2 linked regions of the Schizosaccharomyces pombe genome follow. Changing the gene in region 1 together with any one later gene gives a genetic interaction. Each region holds a gene or a part of one and is shown on either strand. Other genes may lie near its edges.

Region 1 (5,730 bases):
TACCGTTTTTTTCTGCTATCTCTCTTGAAAGACTTCCAAAATCTTGTCTCACAAAAATTTTGAGACCACCATGCACGAATTTAACACGATTACGATTGTTCTCAATTACGTTTCTGAAAAGATCGTTGGAAATATAAATGGCTTTCGTAGGGACACCATTGACATTTCTAACGAAAAACTGATTCTTCTTTATGATAGCTTCATCAATGCCAAACTTCTTATAGATTTTCTCGAGAGCTTGATCGTCCTCTTTTATATACACGAAAGGATCCAATTCGTGAAATCGATTGCCCCCATTTTTTCCTTTTGGTTTAACTTCGGCTAATTTTGAATCCGAAGATGTTTCTTGAGTATCTTGTTTACGTTTTTTTGATGCTTGTTCACTTGGCAACTTTTGTTCTCGTAAAAAAACCTTGTTATCGTCGACGGCAGTTTTCATAGAGCTAGTAAGATTTTCATATTTTTCTAAAACTGCAACAAAAAAGCCTCCAGTATTTTGGAAATGTGGATAAATACGTAAGCAATTTTGAATATTCAGCTCAGCAAGTTCTTTCTTTGGTAGTGGCCATAAAGTAGGAGGCATTTTTTCGTAAAGCTCCTTTGGCAAGGTATCAAATGAAGGATAAATATTTAGATCGGAATCACAAACTACCCAGTTATCAACACCTTGACTACGTTTTAACTGAGGAAGCTCCGAACTAACATCCACCAACCTTACAGAACCTCGGGTAGCATTCAAGACAGCAGAAACCACTGCCTCATTTTCAATTGGATTTAATGAACATGTTGAATACACCAATCTTCCTCCTTTTTCCAACAGTTGTAAACCTCTCATTAAAATCTTAATTTGTGTCGCGTGAAGCCCTAAAGCTGTTTTCAAAGACCACTCATTCCATAAAGCAATGTTTTTTCTAAAGGTTCCATCTCCAGAGCATGGGACATCAGCAAGGATACGATCAAACTTAAGGAACTTTTTACCGTCGGGAGAAGATAGATGGAAATTCGGCAAAAAGGAAGCATCGTGATTAACAATTAACACATTTGGAGAATTTAATCGCTTAATCTGATGTACAAGCATATGCGCTCTTTTATTGTCACTATCATTTGCAATAACAATTCCTGAAGGCAACAAAGTAGTAATATCTTCTTTCTTAGTTGGTTTGTGAAGTGCCTCGAGTAATTGAGCTGTCTTAGAACCAGGCGCCGCACACATGTCCAAAACTTTGTGGTGACTCTCTACATTAAGAAGTAATGGTGGAACCATACTTACAGATTCTTGCCTGTTTATGTCACCCGCTTCTGTTTCAAGTACAAGAAATTCTTGAAGTGCCTTGAGATGAGGGCTTTTTCGAATAACTTCCTTAGAAATGTCCAGCATAAAAGCCATTCCATCAGGATACCATGGAAGTGAAACTGGCAAGGGGATTTTCGCATCCTCAGTTCTTGCATTCTCAATGAGTGGATAGTAGTGTTCTATAAAATAATCACGAACTTGAGTAGCATGACTTTTAAAATGATTAGAAACAAAAAATAATAATGTTTTTACTTACGGAATCGATGCAGTTATTCGAAATGTTGTCGGGAGTTGTTCAGTAAGCTTTTGCTTTAAAAGGATAAAGTCATCCTCCGTCACTAATTTCTGAAGCCTGTAGTACTTTTCAAAGTTTTCATTTCTATCTAGTAAGTAAACATAATCTGAAGTCATGACTCACTTTCTCTCAATTAAATCCCAGTTTACAAACTCCCCTTTTTTAGACCTCTATTTAATACACATTAGTAAGATAAAAAATAAATTAATTTCGTACTAACATTTTTTTTACTAGAATAATGCTTACGACCCATCTTAAACTCCTCCTTTTCCTTATCAACGTATCGAGTTGGTACAAGACAAGCAATTTTCAATGCTGGATAGTGCGTATTTTGTTAGCAGATTACAAAATTACTTTGACCTATTTTCAAGGAAAAAACTCTCAAAAATATTTTATTGAATTAACAAGAAGTTATATTGTCTGCTTTGCGACATTTTCTACAGATCTTGGATAACTCAAGAATTTACGAATATTGCACATTGTTATTGTGGATTTGCTTCGCACCTAAGTGAGATTATGAGGGGTTGTACATGAATTACTAAAAATGAAACTGTACGAGTGCTTACTTTTAAACATCAATCTTATATTATCTTAAAATCTCGAATGTATAAAGACTGTGTTTGTGTTGGTTGACTTAATTTAGCGTGTTAGGTCTTTTTGACAACTACAACCATTTCATGTTCGATTTAGAATATCTCAAATTTAGTTAAACAGAAGTTTGACTATAAGACGCTTTTAATAACTTTCAACGTTTGATTTTAAATAGTTAAGACCACTTATTAACTTTGTCAAATTAACTTAATGCACTTTCACATCCAACTCAGGATTTAAATTTCAAAACAGGATTACTCTTTATTTTGTTTTCTTTATTCTTTAGTTAAGTTTTGTTAATCATTCAATTTTTTAATAGTCAACCACAGCTTTTGGGTGTTCCTGACGACAAAAATGAATGTTAATTCTTCTGCGTTCGAGAGAACCAATAGGTTCCCTTCTTTTCCTGTTTTAAAAGACGACCAAAAGACAAGTTCTGATTCAATTGCTGCAGCTAAAAAAAAAGATTTGTTATCGCTCATTTCGAGTAAATCTTTGCTATCATCTGAAACACTAGGATGGTTTTCTGTAATTTGTGCATTCTCCATTACTGGTTCTGGTCTTGAAGTCAATACCATGTCGATTCCATTTTACCTTATTTTTGGCATCTTTGCTTTTGTCAGCTTTACTACTCAATATTTGGGCATCTATTCATTTTCGTTCCAACCTTTTCAGTTATTAAATGTAATAATCGCTTCTTTATCGATGGTATTCATAACTTTAGGTGCCTTTGTACTTGGAACTCTAGACACGACTTGTTTGTTATTGCTAGCTTTCAAATTATTTTTTATTCGTAACGATCCTACACCATTTAATGCCAGATCTGCTAATTTGAAGAACTATATAGCATTTCCAATATGTCTTTTTGTCATTAATCATATCCTAATACTGTTGGGTTATTTCCAATGTTCTTATTCCGTTTTTTATGCCAGCGTTTTTTATATACTTCTTGGTGTCTTCATTCGAGTCTTTTACCTTGTGAACAAAGAGAAGTTTGAAAAGAAGGAATTGGCATTCCTTTTTTCTTCTATCGTTGTGGCTTGTCTCATTCAATTTAATGTCCTTCCGCTTGGAACAATCAATCTATCAGTCACTCGTTTTACCATTCTTTGTTTTATGCAAATTTTTTGCATCAATTGGGATGGAATTGCCAGAATTCAATTTTACTTGGGAAAATTCGATATTTCTTTAATTATGGCCCTAATTTCTGCCATTATTAACAAGACAGCTTCTCAAAATTCTATCAAGATCATATCATGCCTCTATCAAGTAGGATTTTGCTTCTTTAAAATTGGTTCTTCTATAACAGCAAACTTGAAGCTTCCTGACAACAGCCGTATTTACCGACTTTACAATGATTTCATAGTGAATGGAGTGCTTGCCGATAAAGAGTCAAGAAGCATATTTTATTTCTTCCTTTTAAATGTTTCTTATATGTTTGTGCAAGTTATTTATGGTCTTTGGACAAATTCTTTGGGGCTTATTTCAGACGCAATTCACATGGCTTTTGACTGTATTGCTATTCTTGTCGGTTTAGTTGCTACGACGCTTGCCAAGATGCCTCTAAATTATGCTTACCCCTTTGGATTTGCAAAAATTGAGGCTCTTTCGGGTTTCACTAATGGTATTTTTTTAGTTTTGATTTCATTTTCTATCGTCGGCGAGGCATTATATAGGTTATTTCATCCGCCCCAAATGAATACCGACCAATTGTTGTTGGTTAGTTTTTTGGGCCTTGTTGTGAATTTGGTAGGTATCCTAGCGTTCAATCATGGGCATAATCATGATCATGGGTCTCATCACCATCATTCCCATAGTAATCATAGTATGTGTCTGCCTAACACTACAAATGATATAAATATTTTTGAAGAGTTTGAAGAAGAAAAAGATAATGTTGAAGCCCAGAAAATGGGCTATACGAATGACGATCACGTATCCCAACATGAACATACCCATGAGAATAGTCAGGAACATCACCATGAGCATAACCACAATCATGATCACATCCATAAATACAATGAAAAATGCGACCATGAAAGCATAAGTCTCCAGAATTTAGACAATGATCATCACTGTCATCATCACCATGAAAATCATAATATGCATGGCATATTTCTGCATATTATCGCAGATACTATGGGCTCTGTTGGAGTTATTGTCTCTACTATATTAATACAGTGGTTTTCATGGACCGGTTTTGATCCTTTGGCATCTCTAATAATTGCTGCATTAATATTTGTTTCTGTACTTCCATTAATTAAAGATTCGGCGAAGAATTTGCTCTCTGTGACTGATCCAGAATCGGAATATTTATTGAAGCAGTGTTTGTCGAACATCAGTTTAAGTAACTCCGTTATCAGTTTATCCAACCCTAAGTTCTGGACAAACGAAAGAGGTGAAGTGTATGGAATACTCCATATTCAGGTGAGCATAGACGGTGATTTAAACGTGGTTCGTAATGAAGTATTTAGGAAGCTCTCAATCGCTGTACCAAATTTAAAACACATTTGTATACAATCTGAACGGCCAAACAATTGCTGGTGTGGAAAATAGTTCTTACATCAGTTGATATCCATACTTATTTACGTGTAATTTTAATTAGATGAATTAATATTTTCTTTATTAGCAAAATTCCCATTATTTACCCAATCTTTATAATAGTGTTTTGAAGGACAGACTTTCTAAAAAAACCCCGAGGTCACTTTTTTGACACTCAATCACACTTGCTTCAAAACAGTCCATTTGCAAAGTAGCAGATGTCATGTTTGCAACCTCTTGAAATGCAACTCCAAAACGATTGTGTCCATGACCGTCGTCATCATCGTCATCTTCATTGCTAGTAAAAGCGGAAGTAGAAGTTCCAACTATTAAGTACCTATTTTTTTCCTCTACAAAAGCTGCTAAAACAAGAGGAAGATGTCTAAGCTTTCCAAATTCTCGTTCTTGCTCCTTCAAGTGTTAGTCAAACGTTAAAATCAATAGACACTTACATTAATAGCTTCAGCAATCCAAAGACTCATCTTTGTTAACGCAAGGGGATGCATAAATATTTTCAGATCTGGTCCTTCGTTGATAAGTCCAAAACGAAAAGATCTCAACGTTTTAATGGCTCTTTTTTCAAGTAAGGTGATTCCAGTACGAACAATGGCTCTTTGTAAGTGCATTGCTAACTTCAATGCTCTTTCTAATGAATCGACATCGTCCAAGGCGTCGTATGCATCATAAAAATTGTGCAACCATTCTTGATTTTGAGCATTTTCAAACTTCTCCAAATATTCTTCCTCCGTCATATCCGGGCTTCGAGCGACAGTTTTGCTTTGAAGCAAAACACCTGTATTACCCATTTCTAATAATGCACTGATAGCATAAGAAACGTCACTTGCACTAAGTGTACATTTGAATCCATAAGTCCGAGTAAAACTATGGAATATCACATCGTCTAAACCATAAAACGGTGCAAATCTTTTAAGACTACTTTTCAAAGTTTTTTTTAAATCCATGTTCATGTGAATATAAGTTTGTTTACACTCCACCAGACTGAGTCCCATTT
Region 2 (3,677 bases), on another chromosome or scaffold:
AGTTGAATTGACTGGCTATTATGAGTTGTGTCTATAGCAGTATCACTTCGTATTGCATGTCAAGTATTATCATTTTCTTTTCAGCAAAAAGGCGCTACAAGGAATTTGTTTATTACTTAGTTTTGTTTAATAAATATTTTTAGCAAAACCTTAAAGACGTAGAGCCGTTTACTCTCTTCGTAACACGACTTTCCATTCGTGTTATTCTACTTTTACTTGCACAATATTTCACTTAATCGGCAGTGTTTACGTACCTTTTTAAAAATATATGCACAAACGCTCTTGGAATAATCCAACTGGACCCATTCGGTCTTATTAAACACAAAGAAAAATTTTGTACTATTCAAAAAATCATAAAAATTATCTAAATCAAATCATACTTTATCCTCGAACATAATACAGTTTGTTTTAAAGGCAGCTTGTATCCTCAATTTTACGATGCAACTTTACTAGCTACATTATCGCCATCCCCTACTATTTATTTAAAAAACCAAAACCAAAAAAAAAAAAAAAAAACTATACAATACATTGGAGAAAACAATTCGCAAAAGAGATGAATATTTAATATCAACACAGAAACAAACTCTAGATTGCGTATTTTCTAGTCCATTCACGAGCACTTAATTCATAACGGGATCTGTCAGTTTTGTAGACGTGCGCAATTTCAGGCACAAGCGGATCATCAGGATTAGGATCTGTCAACAATGAGCAGATAGACAGTAATACCTTTGATATAGTCAACGCTGGAGACCATTGGTCACGAAGGATATCCAAACAAATGCTACCGTTTGAATTGATGTTGGGATGATAGATTCTGGTTGTAAAGTTTACCTACGAATATGCTGTTAGTTATCATTAAAAAAAAAAGACTATCAATCAGATTCGTAATGCTACGCAATGTAATTGCCCTCGCTTCACTTGGATGGACGCAATCGTATAAAAATCGATAAAGTTCCGCTGGTAAAACATAAAGAAATGAAGATAAAAGGTAAGAGTAAACAATTATAAAAAAACTTCTGCGTATACTCTTTCACCATAACACTTAAAAAATTTTGCATCACTGTCAACCATACCGATTTTTCCAGAAAAACAAGATGCAATCAACTCTTCAATTCATATTGTATATAACAAACTTCCTCCTCCGATTCACAAGCTTACAATGCGTATTTACATAATCTACACAAGACTAAATAGTTACATACCTTTGGTGGCTTGAATGGGTAGTCCGTAGGGAAATGAATGGACAAGAAGAAGACACCACCCGCATAAGGGCTGTCAGCCTATATATCATGTTAGCTGCACAATCCTAGCAAGCAAAATTTTGGCAGTGCGCAAGGCACTATTACAGCCGCGACTTACAGGACCCATGATTGTAGCTTGCCAATGGAATAAATCATCGCCAACAGGGCCGGCGGAACAAGAAGACGGTGGGTCTTTTCCAAGATCAGCTAATTCACGGTTAATTCTTTTCAAAGCCATCGTTACTGGTTTGCTTTTGCGATTTTACAAAGTCAGTAGTTTGCTCGTGGAAGAACGTGGACGGAGGTAGAAATAACATATAACCGATGGATGCACTAAATCACACGAGTTCGACTTTGTCTGAGTAAGCAATTTTTCAGGATGGCGCAACTTGCTTTGTACCTGCAAAATACCCGCTAAACAGTTTGTTATCCTTTTAAGGATACGCTACGTTACGATAAATTTTTTCGGGATCCAGCATACTATTGTATTACAAATAGGGCAAAATTAAAGAGAATTACAGATATTATATTATGGGGGCGGTATTATAACGATTTATCAATAAAAGAGCTTGTAAGTGAACTGAAGAACGAGGATCAGTTTAACTGACGACATGATGGCTAACTCAGAAACTATTTTACTTGTGAAATACAATATAGACTATATCAGTATCTTCCCGTATTTAGCGAATAGAGAAACCGGACAGGCGATATTTGATGATATGCGCCGTAGCGACCACAGCAGAATACACCATTGCTCAAAATATCGACAAAATTGTTAAATTACTATAACGTAAAAAATGAGCTTGCCGTTCCACTTTAAATATATAGTGTTGATCATATCTACTAACTTAGCTAAAATTGACAAAGTGGTAATGGGAGAGACTAATGTATAGCTTTGGTTTTATAAAGTGTTACTTAAGTCACGTTAGAAAACTAGCTTATATCCACTGTGGTTATTATTTTCTGCCGGAAGCCATTTTATAGCATTGCTTTATTTGCTCTAGTTATGCATAACAAAAAATAAATTTGCACAAAAATTTTTTGCCCATTTCGCCATTTATAATTAAAAAGACTAAAGTATACCTTTGATTGGAACCATAATCCAAGATCAAATCTGTATTGCTTCACAGCATAACCATAAATGTGTTTGCATACGTGTATTATATACGAAATATAAAACAACAAATTTGAAAATAAAGCACACGACCATTCTCCAAACCCCTGTGTTTTTAGCGTATTACTCATTTATTACAATGTGCAAAGACCAAGTCTCAGTTTAAACAACAAACGCATTTGTAGCGTTGTAGCACCGATCGAAAACTGTTTTTCAACAACTTTCCTTCTGTTACAGCTTCGCAAACTCACTAAATATTTCAATCTGTAAACTACATATAGTTTTCATAGACATTAAAGAAACATACAACTGAACAACTTTGAAAGTATATTTTAAGATCTATAAACTTTCCATAAGTTTTTTAAAATTCGCCCAAATCAGGCTCATCGTCATCTAAATCTGCCTCAGCCATTTCTTTATCCATACGCCTACGTGCCTCTTCCACACCTTCGAGTTCACTTTTGTGAGCATCCATGGGATATCGCATACTTTTTATGCTGTCATTATGAAGGGCAAGACAAAACTGAATACGTTCATGAAAAGCTTGTTGAGGCTGCTCGGTGGAATAAATATCCATGGCTTCGTTACTAGCCATAAAGGCATTACTATGATCGATACTTGCATCAATAACTCCATCACGGATGCCCTTAGCAACAATGTACTCGGCACTCTCTTCACTGTCCAAACCAAGCTTTATACAAACATCACGAAGGGAAATACGGGAATAAGATAAGGAGATCATCCTCAATCCAGTCTTAATGACGGTATGGCGAAGGCGGCATATCAAAGTATACAATCCATCGAAGCGAAATTCAGCCTCATACTTGGAAAGCGCGTCAGTGAAAGCACAAAGGTCACCAATACGAACTGCCTGGCTAATACGTAAGTAAGGCACTAAAGTTTTTTCGAGAGATTTTTGGCGGAAAATGCGGCGTTCGGGAATTTCTCCCATAAGCAATTGTACGACGATGTGCAATTTGTAAACAGCTTCCAGAAATTGAACGGCATATACTGTGTTGGGAGCCTTACGTATAGCACTAACTAAATGTTCATGAGCGGTCGTGTAGTCAAGTTGAATGGCGCGAATTCGACCCAAATAGTATTGGTAGCGAATTGCCAAGTTATTACTAGCATTCGTAAGAAAGGATGTTTTCGAAACGAGACGGTCTGCTTGATCATATAGGTTAAACTGAATATAATTCCGAAGAAGTAATGTCAAAACCATAGCTTGAGTTTCAGAGTCGTGACGTAAAGATGCAGTACGATGAACGGACAAAAGAGTGTTCCTGCATTCTACAGACCTATTACATTTTTCAAAGAAT

The links.
Region 2: of cis4 (region 1) and ubc4, extra expression of one rescues a mutant of the other (dosage rescue), as found in Schizosaccharomyces pombe (one study listed by BioGRID).

Annotation. Positions count from the first base shown.
Region 1 is NC_003424.3:4,725,863-4,731,592, reverse strand, and holds cis4 (Golgi zinc importer, CDF family, Cis4), read left to right. Parts: upstream 1-2,251; 5' UTR 2,252-2,534; coding exon 2,535-4,733; 3' UTR 4,734-4,811; downstream 4,812-5,730. Other genes in the region: trm401 (tRNA (cytosine-5-)-methyltransferase), read right to left, coding at 1-1,505, 1,551-1,673, 1,713-1,759, 1,810-1,842; DNA replication pre-initiation complex subunit Cdc45, read right to left, coding at 4,833-5,129, 5,171-5,730. UniProt on the Schizosaccharomyces pombe protein: Probable zinc transporter involved in Golgi membrane trafficking through the regulation of zinc homeostasis.
Region 2 is NC_003423.3:713,135-716,811, reverse strand, and holds ubc4 (ubiquitin-conjugating enzyme Ubc4), read right to left. Parts: upstream 1,528-3,677; 5' UTR 1,480-1,527; coding exon 1,360-1,479; exon of another isoform or gene 1,281-1,359; coding exon 1,203-1,280; exon of another isoform or gene 1,045-1,202; intron 832-1,044; coding exon 586-831; 3' UTR 501-585; downstream 1-500. Other genes in the region: 19S proteasome regulatory subunit Rpn3, read right to left, coding at 2,717-3,677. UniProt on the Schizosaccharomyces pombe protein: E2 ubiquitin-conjugating enzyme that catalyzes the covalent attachment of ubiquitin to other proteins. Mediates the selective degradation of short-lived and abnormal proteins. Mediates ubiquitination of pex5.